Linked DNA regions of Arabidopsis thaliana. The protein of the gene in region 2 interacts with the protein of the main gene of each other region in a pairwise test. Each region holds a gene or a part of one and is shown on either strand. Other genes may lie near its edges.

Region 1 (11,344 bases), 3.1 Mb from region 2:
CTCCCAGAGGTAATAAAGCTTTGGTGTTAAAAATGCTTCTCCTTTTTAAAAAATAAAAGAATTACTCAAAAGTTATAAAGATACATGTATATGGGTCCAATAGTCAAGTCTTATCGCAGTAAAGTTTTCTTTTATTATCATATATATACACTCAAGGATCAATTTTTATTATTTTCAAAACACTTGGTTAAATTGATAAAAACATAAAGCTGCAAATGATGAATGTTAAAAATAATGACGTCGATAAGAGTTAGTTATACGGCCCGCACCCTCAATATATGTAAATACTCCTTTTTCTTTTGTAAATCAAAAGTAGTAGTCAGAAGAAATCGTATTATTGCATTTGCACGTTCTCTTCCTTTCAACCCTCTCTGACATCTCCATTTACACACAAAATCCACACGTAGCGATTGGGTCAGTGTGATTCTCACGCGCCAGTGATCTCACACATGCATTGGATTGCACTGCAGCAACTCTTATTAGTAGGTTAGTTACATTGGGTTTCAAAACCCACAATTGAGGTTGAGCTCTCTTTCTCTCTCTCCCCACTTAACTAACTTTTTCGAATTTCAAGTCATCAGTCATCACAACACAATGTGTGTTCTCAGTCAACGACGTTCCAATCAATGCCTTTATGTCTCTGTCTCTCTCAGACTCTCGCACATAAGTCATACTTTTTTAAGCAACGGATCTCTCTACGTCAAGTAATTTGGTGGTAACGTTTTTGGGTCCATAAACATACATTCTCTATTATATGGGCCTACATTCTCTCGCTATATGGGCCTGTTTTATACAACCCAAAGGTTTTATATTTTCATCGACAAGGCCTGCTGCAACCACATTGATTTGTCATGTCGCTTTCGTACCATCATCTTTTACATCCAGTTTCTTCAATACTCCTTTCCTTATTGTCCTAATGTACATTCGAAGGATGAGGCCCTCGTAGTCGTGGGGGATGATGTCTTTCTTCCTCCTACATGGAATCTGCACCATGGCCGAGATCGACCTCAAAAAGGCCATGATGGTGACTGGCACGTTTCTTTTAAAAGTTTGCTCAACGCGTTCTAGGATACTCCCGCTACCCGTGTCTCCCTTTTATTAGTAAGAGATTCTGGCGGAATATTTAGTTGTTGCTCAACAATATTTTATAAATGCTACTTTTTGCTTAATCCATGTTTCAAATATGACAAGAAAAACAAAGAGCGTAAAAATCTAACAAAATTCGTAGAAAGAAAGACGAACAAACTTGTCCGGTAAAGTAACATCCAAAAACATGAGAATGTTTCAGCAATCTGATGATCTCTATACTATCTAAACAAAAGAGTAACTGGAAGTAGCAGATGAGGTTCATAAATGACAAAAAAAAAAAAAAAAGAAGATTAGAGCAGCAACGGCGTTTTAAAAAGACCAAAATTAAGAAAGCAAAAGGAGTTTGATACACACGTCCCTCCTTAAGATTTATAAAAAAAAAAATCCATGAACCCAGAAAATAAATAATCACCGCACATTTTGCCTGGCCTTGACCATCATCCGCTTTAGTGTTGCCAGCCAGAAGTTGCATTCGTCCCATTCGCTGGTAGTCAGAAGTACCTGTTTGTTTGTTTTTGAGGTCAATAAAACTGATTATTAAACACGAAATCATCTACAAGGAACCCAGAAGAGATCAATTTACTAGCTTACCTGTATTTGAAGGGCTGTGCTGAAGTCATTGTTGTCCAGAGCTTGGCATAGCTGTGCGAGTTTGTCCGCAGCATTCTTGGAGATGTCTCCGCTGTTGAGTTTCACAAACAGAGCACCTAATTTTCTCGAGTTGTCTTCTATCTCACGCTTCTTAGTAGTATTCGCACGTGCGCCTCCCAGTGCTTCCGATGTCTCATTGAAAAGCCTTGTCAACGTTGCTATCACAGGTTTCTGGTGGGCTGGATCAGTTTACAAGAGGTGATCATTATATGACTTTACTCAGAAACAAAACAGAGATAAGGTGCTAATGAAACGTCGTACGATACCTGGAACGTTGGAAGTATCTGCAGTCTGAACAGTTGGTGGCGGAGTTGCAGGCGCAGGGGCTGCCTGTGCAGCTGCCTGCTGTGTTGGAGGACTTGCTGGTTGCACAGATCTTGGAGCAACTCCTGGAGTTGCCATGGGCGTAAATCCTATGGGTCCAGCTGCTGGAGCAACAACTTGGGGCATCTTAGGGTTAGGATATTGCCCAAGTTGTGAAGGGCCAGAAGGTGCATATTGACCAGGACCCGGGGGAACAGGGTATGCATTGTTAGATGGTCCCTGATGAAAATTTAGAAGTTAGCTTCATTAAACTAAAACTGCGGGTAACATCAAACACACTGGAGGCAAAATTTCTCATACCGTGAATGAATGAGAACTCATGGTTGGCTGCTGATATTGATCTGCATTCTTCAGTGCAGGGGGAGTTGAAGGAACAAATGTAGTTCTCATGGATGGCTGAGCATTGCTTGTAGGAGCTGGAGTAAAAGATGGCTGCATAAACACACTATAGTCAACAAGTTGGCCCAAGAAACCTGTACATAGCAAACAAAACACTTTCCCACGACAAAATTTTCTCACGACCTCTCTAGGATATAGATTCTACAGCAGTGAATAAAAGTAAAGGTCTAGATTATCCGTTTCTCTAGGACATGGGTTTAGAGGCTGAAAATGTTCAGTTTTGGGGAGTTTTGTTTTAGGTCAAAGAACCACATACCTATTATAATCCATCTACTATTCTGACTAAAAAAATCACACAAACGAAGAGACTATGCATTTGAGCACCACATACATATTTCAGATGTCATCATATCTCAAAAGCTTGACCAATCCCTTAGACAAAAACATAAAGAAACGGACACTTTCCTGATCTAGACATCTGAGAACTGCTAGATAAGGATGGTCATTAATGCATGATGGTGCAAGGAAGAATAAGAAAAGAAAATGCAACAAAACCAAAACTTTAGAAACCTGCGGAGCTGGCTGAGCTTGGTGTGGCATAAACATGGTTGGTTGCTGCATGGGTGGATGTGAAACTTGAGGGACATAATAAGAATCAGTGTACGGTTGCTGATACTGATTATCATATGGGTTAGCAAGAACGTTTGGTTGCGCCTGAGTTGGCTCCTAAGCCATAGAAGAGTAAAGACTAAGTATGTTATCCGTGAAAGCTACATGGATTCTAAGTAAAATATAAAACGATTTGCAGAACTCAAATACCTGATTATATGGCATGGTGCTTTGAGGCTGAGTGTTTCCTGAAGCTGTAGTGTTAGTCTCTGCGTATAAAATGTTAAGCTAAATTTATCATCAAAACTCTCTTAAATATTAATCAAAAACACAACTGCATACGCACCAGGTTCTGCAGATAGAGAAATACGATCACGTAATATTGAAAGTTCAGGTGACAAGCCACCAGAATCCAGAACTTTCAAGTACTTCATTGCCGTTGTAAGAAGCCCTTGGCTGGCCAGTATCTCAGCATAACTCTCAAAGAGTTTACACAGAGATGCGCTGAACTTTTTGTTGCCAGTTGCCAAAGCAAGGACAAGAGTCTTCTCCATAAGATCCTATTATAAGATAAGGGCAGAAAAATATGAGCGGAGAAGCCCAGCAAAATTTATGCGCGAAACATAGAAAGTGATACACACTTGAAGAAGCTCAGCATAAGATCTTCCATCCCGCTCATTTGCAAGGCTCCTCGACCAAATTTCTACTGTTCTGTCAACATTGCCTGCGCAAATGTAGCAGAGAACTGCAGCCAAAGTGTTACCAGCAGCCATCAACTTCGAGGCAAGGGCATCACACAGGGTTGTCCATTGTTCTCCTTGTGCAAACTGTTTGCCAATGAATATAAGATCAGCATTCATTACAAAGAAGTTTTCTAGTGAGCAGAATAGCGTAGCTGACAAGTTGTTCATCTTGGTTCACGAGTGCACGGAGATAACATCACATTATATTGTTGAAAAGAGTTAAAAGTGATAGCAGAAAATGTTTTCGCTGAGTAAGACACGAAAAAGCAGATTCCATTTCCTTTATGATTATTGGAGTGCATTGATAGACAATATCAATTAGTAAATTTCCTTTCTTTTCTAAGTATTTTTCCCTCAGTCGGAGAAACTTACAGTACAGAGGAGAGCAAGAGTCTCTTTCCAGAACTTATGTGACCTTGTATAGATAAGGCTCCTGAGATCATTGTTCACCATCGCAGAAACAACCTGAAATAGATAAACATACAGTAGTTTACAGATTTTGCAACCACAAACAGGGGTGTAGATGGCACTTACCTACATATCAAGTTGGGAAAGAATATACATATACCTTCATGTATGGCGCACTGCTCGTCTTCAAATATTTCTCACGAGTACTCTCCCACAACGCTGTACCACCAACATGAGCAATAACTAAAGCATCGGCCATCTTATTTGCAGTTATACACTGATCCACCGCCTCCTTGTAATCTCCAACAATCAACGCTCGCTGGATGGCATTATCAAAAACTGGGTCAGAACTTTCTTCCTCTTCTTCTTGCATTTCTTGCGTTTCTTCTCCTTTGGTAGAAAAATCTGTGTCAGAAGGCATAAAATCTTTGGCAGATGTAGATACAGGTGTATCCGGTTTAGCAGGAAAGTTGTTAAAGAAGTCTTCTCCATTATCCATCGCAAATGCAGCTGCCTCGTTACTGTCGTCAAGATCCAGTGCATCTGCCGCAGTATCCTCTAATCTAATGCCATTGAGATCTGATGAGAGCCCATCTACTGCCTGATCCTTTTCCGCAACAGGCAAAGTAAAGCCAAGATGGCTGATCAACTTTGTCCTTGAAGTTCCTTCCTCTTCGAACATGATTTTCAGCAAGCCCCATGTCTCTTTCTCCTCTTCGGATCTGCGAAATCAGTGGAATAAAATGGTCCAAACTGAGTTATCTCATGAGTTTTTATAAGGGCGAATATCAACATTTTCAATCACAAGGATGGCATACTCAGTCTCTTCAGATTTCTTCTCGCACAAACCCCTTAGAGAAGTCATATCTCCATTTTCTATTGCAGCTTCAAATTCAGAAGTTCGACTCACCAAACTCTGTTCTGTTACCAGGCTGTGCAAAAAAACCTAAACATGACACTAAGTCAAATTAGAATTGACGACAAAAGGGGTATAACCGGATAAATAAATATATGTACATAGATACCTACCTCGGATAGAATGCTCGAAGTACCCTTTGCAGGGGCCCTTGCGTGACACGATACAAGCTTTCCCCCAAATCCAAAAGATGCACCAACCGGGCGCTTATACCATTTTGGTGCTTTTAAAGGAGCTGCATAGAGAGGAATATAAGAAGTAATGTTGGTCCTGAAGCTTTTCATCTTCCAGCATAAAAATGATAGAAGTAATCAACGGTAAACAAACGGTTCAGATTGGGTAAATGGAATTACCAGTACCAAAATTATTCTCTTCAACACCATAGCGACTGCAACCCTGCACCAAAGCGTTGAATACGTTTTTTTAATCCATTCTAGGAGGGGAGAAGGGAGATCTACAGTTCAACAGGTCTTGCTAATAAGGTAAATCTCAACTACAAAGTGTATAAGATTAAACTCTAAAACATTTGATTTCCAGTGGTATGTTAACTGGGGACCTGAAACCTAAAATGATGAAGGAGAACAGTCGATAGGGCTGGATTCAAAAGTTCATTATTTGTTATGCCTCATACATTATTTACATTCATTCATATAGAACAAAATAATTTACAATTACTGAAGGGCAAACTACTAAGGTACCTCGATATTGTAGATGCCAATTTTCCCATCAAATGAAGATGCTGATATAACTCCAGGTATCTTTGGGTACCAATGAACATCAAAATTCCAATTGTTGCCAGCAGGTAACTCAGCCACAATCTGTTATGGTTGGATCAAACTCAGTCAAAATGGAAAATAGTTAACTAATTCACGGACCCAGCAAATCTGTATCTTTTATTGATTCCTTCACACTACCTCTGCTGTATTTGTATCCCAGCAAATCGTTCGGTTGTCCTTAGCACAGGTGAGAAGATATGAGCTGTCACTTGGGCACCACTCCATTGCAATTACCCCTGACAGATAAGAAGTATCACCACTACACTTCACCAAGGTGTAACACCAAGAATGAAGACAACAGGACTATAATATAAAGGCACCAAAATATGAGTGGGTTAAAGACTAAGACGTCTGATCTACAAGGCTGTCCACTTACCAACCATAGAAAATGATACCAAGCTAGAGAGAAGCACTGAGAAAAGCATTTTGATATCAATGATTTGAAAATACCTCTTTGGTGTCCAGTAAACTCGCGCACAGGTGACATTATATTCCTCATGTCCCAGAGCTGATTGCAGATACCTTACATCACTAAAAGAACCAAAATTGAACTATATGAAGCAACGCGTTAAATGATTCCTTACCTTCAAAGTAGGTGAACTGTCGTCATCTGATGCAACCATTATCTGAGTAGTAACGTTAGGGTTCCACTGTAAAACAGAGCACCGGCGTCGAACTGAATCTGCAAAGCTGTTGAATGATAATGGCGAGATCAAGGATTTGACAACAAGTTTTTCGAGAGCCTCAATAATATCACTTAATAAATTGAATACTTACTTAATTATAGGCTTCTGCTTCCTCAAGTCCCAAATTACTGGGGGAAAAGAAAATGAAAATAAAGACTGATGAGCAGAAGCAGAAATATAGTAGACAGAAGTGAAGTAGTAGTCAAGTAGATAGAGAAAGAGAGAGAAACCCCTAAGTCTCACCAGTAGTCCCATTGTATGAGGTAGAAGCTAATATCTGTTGAACTTTTCTATTCCACGATATAAAGGAGATTTCACCTTGCGTAGCAGAACCACTACCCTGCAAAAGACCCTCGCATAAAGTTACTCATGGGTTTATACCAAAGCAATAATGAGAGTAAAAGGTAATACAAAAACCAAGGTTGTTGACTAGTAAGAAGTGGTGGTATACCTTGAGCAGTGGAAAATGAGAAGGCTCTGAAGGCTTTAATAAGTCCCAAATGCAAATTTCACCATCATCAGCCCCAGAAGCAAGTAGATTTGAGCTGATAGCATTAAACTCAAGACCACGAACCTAAGAAAAAAAGAAGCACGCACACATGAAAATGAGGAGTGATAAAAACAAAACAGCGTTAAGCAACAAAATAATGCAGAGAGACACAACTCACAGGGCCTTTGTGAACTGAAAGATGGCCAACGAGTGCATTTTCGCTGGGCTGGGAACTGAAAATTGTGACAGTTGTTCGAGTTAGACTCGTTCAGATGAAAATTGGATACCACATACATAACTCTATTAATGCGGATTATAAAAAAAAACAGAGTGAAAATGGCGATTCAATAGCAGCAAAGCAAGGCGAGGAAAGGAAACGCACCCGATCAAAGAAAGAGGATTCCATAGATCTATATTTCCGTCGACAAGGCCGCCGGCAATAAGACCAAGGGCGAATTCCTCGGATCCAGATCCGTTTCTTCCCCAGGCGAGTCTATTGAACCGCTCGGAGCTGGGGATTTCCCCGACGAGAGGCAAGTCGCGATCGTCAGACTGAAAGTCGAGCTTAAAGATCTCGAGATTGGCGGAAGAGCTAAAGGAGAGATCGACGGCTCCGGCCATGGTTCCGGCGGCCATGTAAGGAGCATCGGGAGCCAGGGCAACGGAGGCGGATCGGCCCACCCCCTTGATGCAAGCCATATTGGAATCGGAGATTGGGATTTAATTTTTAGGGTGTGTGAAGTTGAATTCTTGTAAATTGGGATCTGGAGAACAAAGGAGGAGAGGAGTTACTTCACCATTATAGATTTGATTAGAATGTTTTTTATTTTCTTATTTCGACAGGGGCGAAACTGTACTTTCAACTCAAAAGAGTAAGGGTAATCTCGGACACTCCCCTAAGGTTCTGAGAGCCATTCTAAACATGACACGTCAACTAATCTCTGAGGCCTATGACCCATCTTATTTGGGCCTTGGAACAATATGCTGGATAAATCTCATTACCCAACTTTGAATCGCAACAATTGGGCCCAATAATGTGTTTTCAAAAACACGTGAAATTTTTATCATCAAATTTGAAATTATTTATTTAAGTGGTCAATGAGATTGTTATGAATAATAAACTGGGAAGGAATGTGCTGAAACATCGGATCTGGCCAGTGGGGCTACTAGTACACGAAAGTCCCATGTTCGGCTCATATCATTGTCTTACATTTTTTCTGTTCCAGATTTATAGAATTCGTATTAAACAATGGTAGAAAATAAGCTAATATTTGTTTGCAGTTAAATGTATTACGAAGAAACAAAAGATGGAATGATATCAAGTGTGAAAATCAGGATTGCAGCATCGACTCACACACCACATGGCATAACATGATCACTCAGAGACGTTGACATCTTCTCTCCTCGCTCTTTTTTTTCTTCAGATTCTTAGAATTCCACTTGTACATTTTTATCAGGGTAATGCATTTTATGCTTCTTTAACTTTTGTTTTGGGAAAAAAAAGAGAAATAATTATTAAAAACCAATAATCATTGCATCATTCTACTTATAAGTTATAAGTTGCTATCAAGGTGTTTCGTTTTTCTCTCCCAAACGACTAATAATAATCGAAGGCCATATACATTCGAAGATTACTAATTTAATTTAGTAAGTTCACTTCACACCCATAGACACACAACCTTTTCTTACATGAAACATATATATATATATATATATATTGATTGAGGCCCGAAAAATAAAATAAATAAATTAATCTTTAATCTGAATCTGTTATCAAAATAATTGTACTACTTTAAAAATGAAAAACAAAAACAATAGTTGTCAAAAAAAAAAAAAAAAAAAAAAGGAACAATCATTCGTATGGTTGGAGGTTTTGACCCACAAAAAAGAAGAAGTTGTTTAAAGATGCAAACCCACACACTCGTTTCTTCATTTAACTGTCTCTTCTTCAAAACCAAAACCAAAACCAAAACCTTCTATTGTTTCCCTCCCACGCTATAATTCATAGACATAAGAGAATGAGGAAAGGACAGGGCTACTCCTACTCTGTAATCGCATCGGTGTTGGTGTTACTGTGTGTGGTGGTGTCTCGAATCGAATGCAGCAGCCAAGTGCACGCCCTGAGCCGTCTTTACCTGTCTAAGCGAGGGGTTGGTGGTTCGTCCACCATGGACACAAGCCATTTCAAGGCGGTTAAGGATTTGAAACCGTCTTCGCTGCGGAGTGCTGCTAATCAGGAGGGGCTAAGAAAGAGAGATCTGATACGGAGATTGCCCGGACAGCCTCCCGTTAGTTTCGATCAGTACGGCGGCTATGTTACCGTCAACGAATCCGCCGGGCGTTCCTTTTTCTACTATTTCGTGGAAGCCTCTAAGTCTAAAGATTCTTCTCCTCTGCTTCTCTGGCTCAACGGCGGTACGTTTCCACTGTCCACACGCATACGTATATATATTTCTTTTATTTTGGTTTGCATCTTTAGTTAGGGGCACTGCATTATGGGTTTATATCTGTACATCTTATATCTGAGTACAAAGATGAACAAGAATGTTAGTTTGATCGATCGAGGCTGTCTTTTTCTCAGTGCTTATTAATCTATCATATGCTATATGATTTTCAGAATTTAATAATTGTGAGGACCATACCATATTTATGCCTTATAGGTCTGCTAATTTTCTTTTTCTTTTATAATTTTTAAATCAAATTATCGGAACTAATTATTATTTGCGCAACAATAGTAGTGAATAATAGGGAAAAGATCCACAACCCCAATCGAAAACTCAACTGAGAAAAGAAAAAGAAAAATGATTTGCCTTTTTTCAAAAATGGCACATGCTGAGGATTTCTCGGCGTGCTTTGTTTGTTGCACAGCTCTACTGGTCAATTATTTAGCCAGCCACTACGTATCTATCTATATATTATATACTGATTTCTATATTATGTATGTACATAAAAATAAAATGCAATGTACAACATATATTCAAATTCACCAGAGACGTTAATAGTAAGCTCATCAGTGAATTAGCTGTCACAAAATCGAGAATTTGATTACAGAAATATGGGTGACTAATAATACATACATATGCATAAAGTGTGTTGGAAATAATTAACAGGACCGGGATGCTCGTCACTGGCGTATGGAGCATTACAAGAGCTTGGGCCGTTCAGAGTACACAGCGACGGCAAAACGCTTTTTAGAAACCGATATGCATGGAACAATGGTACCTATCGTTTTTCTTTTTTATTAAATAACAAAAATAAATTAATGGTAAACGATTCTTGTGATTAAAAAATTATCAAACGGGTGGTGGTGGTGCAGCTGCGAATGTCTTGTTCTTAGAATCGCCGGCGGGAGTGGGGTTCTCGTACACCAACACGACGTCGGACCTGGAGAAGCACGGGGACAGGAATACCGCAGCTGATAACTACATCTTCCTGGTTAACTGGCTGGAGAGGTTCCCGGAGTACAAAGGCAGGGACTTGTACATCGCCGGTGAGAGCTATGCCGGCCACTATGTTCCGCAACTTGCCCATACTATCCTTCTCCATCACCGGAGCTTCTTCAATCTCAAGGGCATTCTGATAGGAAATGCGGTGATCAACGACGAGACCGACTTGATGGGTATGTACGACTTTTTCGAGAGTCATGCTTTGATCTCCGAAGATTCTTTGGCTAGACTCAAGAGCAACTGCGATCTCAAGACGGAGTCTGCGAGTGTAATGACTGAGGAGTGCGCGGTGGTGTCCGACCAAATAGACATGGATACATATTACCTCGACATCTACAACATATACGCTCCCTTGTGCCTCAACTCCACGCTCACTCGCAGGCCCAAGCGAGGAACCACAATAAGGGAGTTTGACCCCTGCAGTGACCATTACGTGCAGGCCTACCTGAACAGACCTGAAGTCCAAGCGGCCCTGCACGCAAACGCTACGAAGCTGCCTTACGAGTGGCAGCCGTGCAGCAGTGTGATAAAGAAGTGGAACGACAGTCCTACCACAGTGATTCCTCTCATCAAGGAGCTGATGGGTCAGGGCGTCCGCGTCTGGGTGTTCAGCGGAGACACAGACGGGAGAATTCCAGTGACGTCCACCAAATACTCCCTCAAGAAGATGAATCTAACGGCCAAAACGGCCTGGCATCCATGGTACCTAGGGGGTGAGGTGGGTGGATACACAGAGGAGTACAAAGGGAAATTGACATTTGCCACAGTGAGAGGGGCTGGTCATCAAGTTCCCAGCTTCCAGCCAAAGCGCTCTCTTTCACTCTTCATTCACTTCCTCAATGACACTCCTCTCCCTGACACCTCTCG
Region 2 (7,606 bases):
TATTCTTTGTTTTTACACCGGTTTGCTTCTGCGGTACTGCCTCGACAGCCACCCCGATGTCCAGACCTATCCTGATATTGGCCATGCCGCTTTTGGTTCCACCGGCCGCATCCTGGTCTCCGTAAGTAAAGAAAATCTACTCATCTATACATTGTTAATTTGAGGGTTATTATATATCACTTGTGACAATATTTTACAATTATCTTTCTTTTGATTGCAGGTAATACTCTATATGGAGTTATATGTAAGAACAACTTGCAATTCCTCCAATAATTTTCGTTATATTATATAGATAAAGACAAAATACATTTTTGAAAGTTTCAAAATAAGTACCTAAAATGAATCTCAAGTCAAAACAATGGACCACATGTGGAGTAGACAACACCTTTGCCCACGGTCCATATTGTTTCCCTCTCTCTTGTTTCATAAATGAAATATTTGGTTTTTAGTATAAGAAAATGTTGAAATTCATCAACTACACATTGAAATATTTGTCTAGAGAGAAATTCTGAATGTTCCTATGATATGGTAAAGTTACACAAAGTTTGATACAAGTTATGGTAAAGTTACACAAAGTTTGACACAAGTTCATTTTGCATGCAGGCTATGAGTGTTGAATACATAATATTGGAAGGTGATAATCTTTCATCAATGTTTCCAAATGCTAGTCTAAGTATTGGAGGGTTTCACTTAGATGCGCCTCGTCTATTTGCTCTGCTTACCACCCTCGCTGTTCTCCCAACCGTTTGGCTTCGAGATCTCAGCGTACTAAGTTACATTTCAGGTATAAAACATTCAATCTAAAAGGACCTTTTAAAGATTCTTTTTTCATATATGTGAATATCTTAACCTTGATCTTGCAGCTGGAGGGGTGATTGCATCAGTGTTGGTGGTTTTGTGCTTGTTTTGGGTTGGTTTGGTTGATGATGTTGGTATTCACAGCAAAGGAACTCCACTAAACCTCGCAACATTACCGGTTTCTGTAGGACTCTATGGTTATTGTTACTCAGGACATGGTGTTTTCCCTAATATTTACACTTCAATGGCCAAACCATCTCAATTTTCTGCTGTTCTCTTGGCATCGTAAGCTTAAATATAAAGACATTACACATCTTAGGAACTCTCTACATTTCTATCTTTTACTGACAGTATCAATTTTTATTTTTTTTTCACAGTTTTGGAATTTGTACTCTTATGTATGCGGGTGTTGCTGTTATGGGATATAGCATGTTTGGAGAATCAACAGAATCACAGTTTACTCTTAACTTGCCTCAAGATTTGGTTGCATCTAAGATTGCTTTGTGGACTACAGTAAGTTTTTTTTTTTCACCCTTCCTCTGCTTATTACATGAAAGTTGGGATGATTTTCACTAAATTTGGTAGCTAGCCAGGTGAGGTCATCTAAGAGTTTTTTTCCTTGCCTTTTTTGCAGGTTGTTAATCCATTTACCAAATATCCTTTATCAAGAAATATTCAGAGACTTTTCATTTATCTCTGTAATTTTGTCATAAGCTTATTCATAATATAAACTGAAAATTGTGTGGCCTTAATAGAAAGAAAGCACATATGCTTTGACATTATCTCCAGTTGCAATGAGTCTTGAGGAGTTAATACCATCAAACTATGGGAAGTCACGTTTCTACGCAATCGCCATTAGAAGTGCATTAGCCATCTCTACTCTGCTCGTTGGTCTTGCGATTCCCTTCTTCGGTAAGGACAAACGAAAAATATACATGTAAAGAAAATAAGTGTCACTTCTTTTGACACTCAGAATTCTTGCAGGCCTTGTCATGTCACTGATTGGATCATTCTTGACAATGCTCATTGTAAGTTACACATTTGTTTCATCCTTTTCTGGTTATGTAAAGCAAATTCTCATATTGCAGTTTCATAGTGAATTTGCTTAGCCTGACAAAGTTTCTGGACACAGACGCTGATACTACCGCCAGCTTGTTTCTTGAGCATCTTAAGGAAAAAAGTAACCCCTACTCAGGTATGGCCTGCTCACTTACTGATAACCAAACCGAATATCGAAATTCCTCAAACTGAAATCGATATAACAATCTGTGGTTTGTTTGCAGGTGACAATCTGTATCTTAATTATGACAGTAGGAGCAGTATGTTCAGTCATTGGCACATATTCAGCCCTTGCAAAGATCATTGAGAAGTTGAACACCTAAAACTGATCAATCTTGAGATTCTTATTTTGTTTCTCTTGAGATTTTGTTTCTGTCTTAAATCAATGGAACATCTCAACCTATATGGAACATTCCAAACACATAATTGTATTAAACATCTTCTGCATTTAAATGTTACCAAACAGTGAACTACAAGAAACAATTATAATACTGGAACATAAGGTGAAGTTCTGTTCCATAATGGTTAAGTAGCAAAAGCAAAGAAGATCACTCCTTATTCAGTAGAAATCTTTCCTCCAGCTAAATCTTCAGGAGTTAGGTTAAGAGAATCCATGGATCCTTTCTTGAATTCTTCCCCTTGAGAAGCAAGGAAGTCCTCCACGCTTCCTGGTTCTCCAAACCAACCACGACGGTCTGCAATCAAATGTAGATTATCACACCCTCCACATCGTACCACCACAACGCCGTTTTCATATGATTCTCGGCTCGCCATCTTCATAGATCTTGTATCACAGACCTTGCAAGTGAAGACCATCATGAAGTCATGCCTCGGGTTTATTTTTAACTGGGACTTGTACTTCACCATCATTTCCTCAGAGGGCGTCGCAGGGGAGGGAACTTTGGCCGATTCAGTAGCAGAGTTTGACGAGTTGCAGACATTGGTTACAGAAGCTTCATTTGCCTCACGGATTACAGATAACTGTCTCTGAAATAATCTTCCATAAACATGACTTCTGCTGAAGAGTGAGTTTGATAGCGACAACTGCTCTGTTGAGACTATTTTCAAAAAAAAAAAGATAATCAAGAAAGATCAATTTAACAGTAGTTGTAGTTGCACGAAGCTAAAACAGTCTGTACCATAACAGGACATCATAGGAACCTCCTAGGATAATGTTTGCATCAAACCGTAGACTAATGCTAACACATCTTAGTCAGGAAATATATAACCAAACTTGAAAACTTAACCAGCGTCTAGCTGAAATGCCAATGTTCACAGCTACTGCTTAATGCATAGAGATATGTTGAAGACAAAGCACTTATGTGAGCATTCATAACTTCAGGTTTCGTAGAAGCACTTCTCTAACTCCAAAATGTAACAGAGCAAAGACGATATTAGATGATATACACATGAGAATACGAGTACTCATCATCACTAATGCCCCAAATCTCTAAAAGCTACAAAAACAACCCTAAAACCAAAATCTCCCCAAAATCCTCTTCTAGTGTAAATTCAAACATAAAAACCACAAATTTACATGAATCTCAACCAAATTCATCAAAAGAAACATCAAGGCAAGTATAAATTACACAGATTAAGAGACCAGTTTAACTCTAGTGCCCGATTTTCAATAACTCTTTAATTTTTCTTAAAGATGACAAAGTTGAGAAGGAGAGAGATGAAACCTTGAGACAAAGGAAAACGATGTTGTTGGTTGCTGAAAAGAGACAAAGCGCGTCTCAAAGCAAGTAACCTAGCGGCCATTGACAACCTGAGGGAGAGGAGGAACTCGACGCTTCTATTTTCCGTGAAATTTTGGAATCGGAGCACAATAAAAGAAGCCTTTTTAATCATTAGAGTTAGTTTTCGTTATGGTCAAGTCAAAATCTAAACCCAGGTTCGAACCACTGAGTGAGCCACAAGTAGACCGACCTTTTTCTTCTTTTTTTTACGTGAGGAAAAAGAAATTTGTGAATTGAAATCTTATCTAGAAAAGAAAAAAGAAAAAAAAAATCAGAACAAGCAGGAGAATAATGTGTGTGATACAGGATATTGAGTAAGGCCACGTGGACGGCTGTGATTAGAAGATCAATGGACGGCTGTGATTCAAATTAAGTGTGCGTAGAGCTGAAGCTAATAAATATCAAGTGTCATCGTATTTTCATGTTATCGTTGAAGTTGTTGTTATTCCTTTCTCTCTGAAAACATTCCGAGATTCATCCTCTGCATAGAACGTCGATTCTTGCGAGGTGAATCCAGAAATCCCTTGTTTTATGAACATTGGATTTCATTTGTTATTTACATCGTAATAATAAGTAATCGGAGTTGTTGATGATTGCTTTGGTTGATTGATTGTGTTGTGGTGTGGTTTTACTGTATTAAAGGTATCAGAGCAAAGACGTTTCTCGGAGATGGTGATCGAGACTCGAGCTCAGGAGTTAGCTCAAGCTCGTCGAGAGAAGGCGTTAGAAGCAGAGGAATCGATGGAGTCACAGATGGAGAAGATCGAGAGCAAGATCGATGCTCAAAATCTGAAGATCGAGCGCCATATCTCGGAGATGTTTGAGGCGATCCACATGCTGTCTCCATCTAAGCAGTCAAATCTGGGTGAGACTCATCAAACAGCTCGTGCTTCATCCGCTTCAGCAACAGACGTGGATTACATGAGAAGGCAAGGTCACGCTAACAATCATTCGGGAGTAACAAGGTTAGGGAAGTTGGATTTTCCCAGATTCAGTGGTGAGAAGGTTAAGGAATGGTTGTTTAAGGTTGATCAATTTTTTGCGGTGGATCCTATACCTGAAGAGATGCGAGTGTCTGTAGTTTCTATTCATTTGGATGGTCTGGCTGCTACTTGGCACCAGAATATGATTGAGGATGAAGTGCAGGTTCCTGAGTGGGGTGTGTACAAAGCTAGGATCAGGGAGAGGTTTGAGATGGTTGGAGAGGATCCTATTGCTGAGCTGAAGAAGTTGCAGGAAACAGCTGCTAGCATTGATGACTATCACGCAAAGTTTGAGGCGATCCGGACTCGAGTAAGGATGACGGAGGATTATTTAGTGAGTGCGTATTTGGTTGGGTTAAGGATTGAGACACAGATGCATATCCGAATGTTTCAACCCCAAACGGTGCGGCAGTGTTTGATGTTGGGACGTCTCTATGAAACTGCTCATCCTGTGCAGAACAATGCGACTTCTTGGAAGAACAATAAGGCTACTTCAAAGGGCCAGTTCTCCTTTAAGAAAGACATGGAGCAGCAGGGCAATAAACCAGCGTTTCAGGAAAAACCAAGAGACACACAACAAAATCAGCCAAGGCGGTTCTTATCTACTGAAGAGATGAGTGCTAGGAGAGCTAAAGGATTGTGTTATTTTTGTGATGAACAATACACATCTGAACATTATAAGATTCACAAGAAAACACAATTGTTTGTTTTGGAAATGGAAGATGCTGAGGAAGTGTTCTTGGATGCAGAAGAAGAGCATAAGGAGTTAGTTGGGGAAGTAGCTCATATCTCAACTCATGCTATGGAGGGTATCTCAACTTACAACACTATGCGAGTTAAGGGTACAAGTCAGAAGAGATCCATTTTTATGTTGGTTGATTCGGGTTCCACTCACAATTTTATGGATCCTCAAATGGCAAAGAAGTTGGGTTGCTCACTCCTACCTAGTGATAATGCAAGAGTACGGGTGGCTGATGGTTACAATCTGAAGGTGATAGCGAGAATACAGAATTTTAAGTGGGAGATTCATAACACGACTTTTGTAGCTGACTTTATGGTAATTCCTTTGAAAGGAATTGATGCAGTTTTGGGTGTACATTGGTTGAAACCTCTAGGTCCTATTACATGGGATTTCACATTGTTGACAATGCAGTTTAAATGGGATAAGAAACGGGTGATGATACATGGTATTCAGCCTTCGTCGGTGCGTGCTATCAAGGCTGACAAATTGAACAAACTGAGAGACTCCGAAGTTCAGCTGTCTATGTTGTGTGTTGCAGACGCTGATGAGGATGAGGGAGAGGTGTTGCAGTTGTCTTCTTTAACAACAGAGGTGTCACCACCAAGTACTACTTCTGCTATTTCTCAATTACTTGATGAGTATAAGGATGTGTTTGCTGAACCTAAAGGGCTGCCTCCTTCTCGGACACATCATGATCATCCAATTCCTTTGATTGAGGGCACTAATCCGGTGAACATGCGACCATATCGTTATGCTAATCATCAAAAAGATGAGATTGATAAGATTGTCAAAGATATGTTAGAGAGCGGTATCATCCAGCCTAGTTCAAGTTCATTTGCCTCCCCTGTGGTTTTAGTGAAGAAGAAAGACGGCTCTTGGAGATTGTGTGTGGACTACCGAAAGGTGAATGGAATTACAGTGAAGAATTGTTTCCCTATTCCTCTTATTGAAGATCTTATGGATGAGTTGGGTGGGGCAGTGATCTTCTCGAAGTTTGATCTAAGAGCGGGTTATCATCAAGTGAGAATGGTGGAGAAGGATATTCCCAAGACTGCTTTCAAGACTCATAGTGGTCATTTCGAGTATTTGGTGATGCCCTTTGGATTGACCAATGCACTAGCTACTTTTCAAGGGTTGATGAATTCAGTGTTTCAAAAGTTTCTAAGGAAGTTTGTCTTGGTGTTTTTTGATGATATCCTTATCTATAGCAAATCAAAGAAGGAGCATTTGCAGCACTTAAAACTGGTATTGGAAGTAATGAGGGAGCATAAATTATTTGCCAAACGGAGTAACTGTGCGTTTGCAACATCAAGAGTCGAGTACTTGGGTCATTTTATTGACAGAGACGGACTGTCTACCGATCCATCAAAAGTTTTAGCTGTGAAGGAATGGCCTGCACCTACTAATTTGAAGCAATTACGGGGTTTTCTGGGCTTGGCTAATTATTACCGCCGTTTTGTTAAGAATTTTGGAGCTATTGCCAGACCATTAACCTTGCTAACGAAGAAGGATGCATTTTTGTGGTCTCCCGATGCTACTGTGGCGTTTTAGAATCTGAAACATGCATTGTGTACAACCCCAGTATTAGCTTTGCCCCGTTTTGATCAACCCTTTGTAGTTGAAACAGATGTTTGTGGTCAGGGTATCAGTGCCTTTTTGATGCAGAATGGCCATCCACTGGCTTATATTAGCAGGCATTTACAAGGCAAACAACTTCACCTATCGATCTATGAGAAGGAGCTTTTGGCAGTGGTCTTTGCCATTCAGAAATGGAGGCACTATTTGTTACATGACCATTTTGTGATCATAACAGATCAAAGAAGTTTGAAGTATTTACTGGAGCAGCGTCTTAATACACCCATTCAGCAGCAGTGGCTTCCAAAACTTTTGGAATTTGACTATGAGATCCAATACAAGGAGGGTAAGGAGAATTTGGTGGCCGACGCGTTGTCACGGGTTGAAGGTTCTGAGATTTTGCATATGGCATTGTCAGTATTGGAGTGTGATCTGCTTCAGAGGCTCAAAGATGGGTATGCTTCTGATGCTGTGGTTCAGAAACAGATTGAAGCTCTTCAGAGAAGTGCAGATTCGATAAAGAAGATGAGTTGGTCACAAGGGTTGTTGCACCGTAAGAACAAGCTGGTTGTACCAAATGTTGTAGCTTTGAAAGATTCTATTTTGGGATGGTTACATTGTTCAGGTGTGGGGGGCCACTCAGGTCGTGATGCTACCCATCAGCGTGTGAAGAGTCTGTTTTATTGGAAGGGGATGTCTAAAGATAT

The links.
Region 1: the proteins of ZR3 (region 2) and AT3G63460 interact in a two-hybrid assay, tested with the Arabidopsis thaliana proteins (one large-scale study listed by BioGRID).

The regions. Positions count from the first base shown.
Region 1 is NC_003074.8:23,429,512-23,440,855, forward strand, and holds AT3G63460 (transducin family protein / WD-40 repeat family protein), read right to left. Parts: upstream 7,857-11,344; 5' UTR 7,731-7,856; coding exon 7,414-7,730; intron 7,265-7,413; coding exon 7,210-7,264; intron 7,116-7,209; coding exon 6,993-7,115; intron 6,882-6,992; coding exon 6,785-6,881; intron 6,670-6,784; coding exon 6,633-6,669; intron 6,546-6,632; coding exon 6,440-6,545; intron 6,364-6,439; coding exon 6,306-6,363; intron 6,092-6,305; coding exon 5,994-6,091; intron 5,898-5,993; coding exon 5,778-5,897; intron 5,476-5,777; coding exon 5,433-5,475; intron 5,315-5,432; coding exon 5,193-5,314; intron 5,110-5,192; coding exon 4,982-5,109; intron 4,886-4,981; coding exon 4,324-4,885; intron 4,221-4,323; coding exon 4,128-4,220; intron 3,840-4,127; coding exon 3,654-3,839; intron 3,573-3,653; coding exon 3,359-3,572; intron 3,282-3,358; coding exon 3,223-3,281; intron 3,130-3,222; coding exon 2,974-3,129; intron 2,497-2,973; coding exon 2,365-2,496; intron 2,284-2,364; and 7 more. Other genes in the region: scpl40 (serine carboxypeptidase-like 40), read left to right, coding at 9,050-9,446, 10,142-10,249, 10,348-11,344. UniProt on the Arabidopsis thaliana protein: Required for protein transport from the endoplasmic reticulum to the Golgi apparatus.
Region 2 is NC_003074.8:20,306,459-20,314,064, reverse strand, and holds ZR3 (Zim17-type zinc finger protein), read right to left. Parts: upstream 3,797-7,606; 5' UTR 3,712-3,796; coding exon 3,543-3,711; intron 2,916-3,542; coding exon 2,413-2,915; 3' UTR 2,211-2,412; downstream 1-2,210. Other genes in the region: AT3G54830 (Transmembrane amino acid transporter family protein), read left to right, coding at 1-121, 221-244, 604-784, 864-1,083, 1,176-1,311, 1,433-1,496, 1,588-1,710, 1,783-1,826 and 2 more.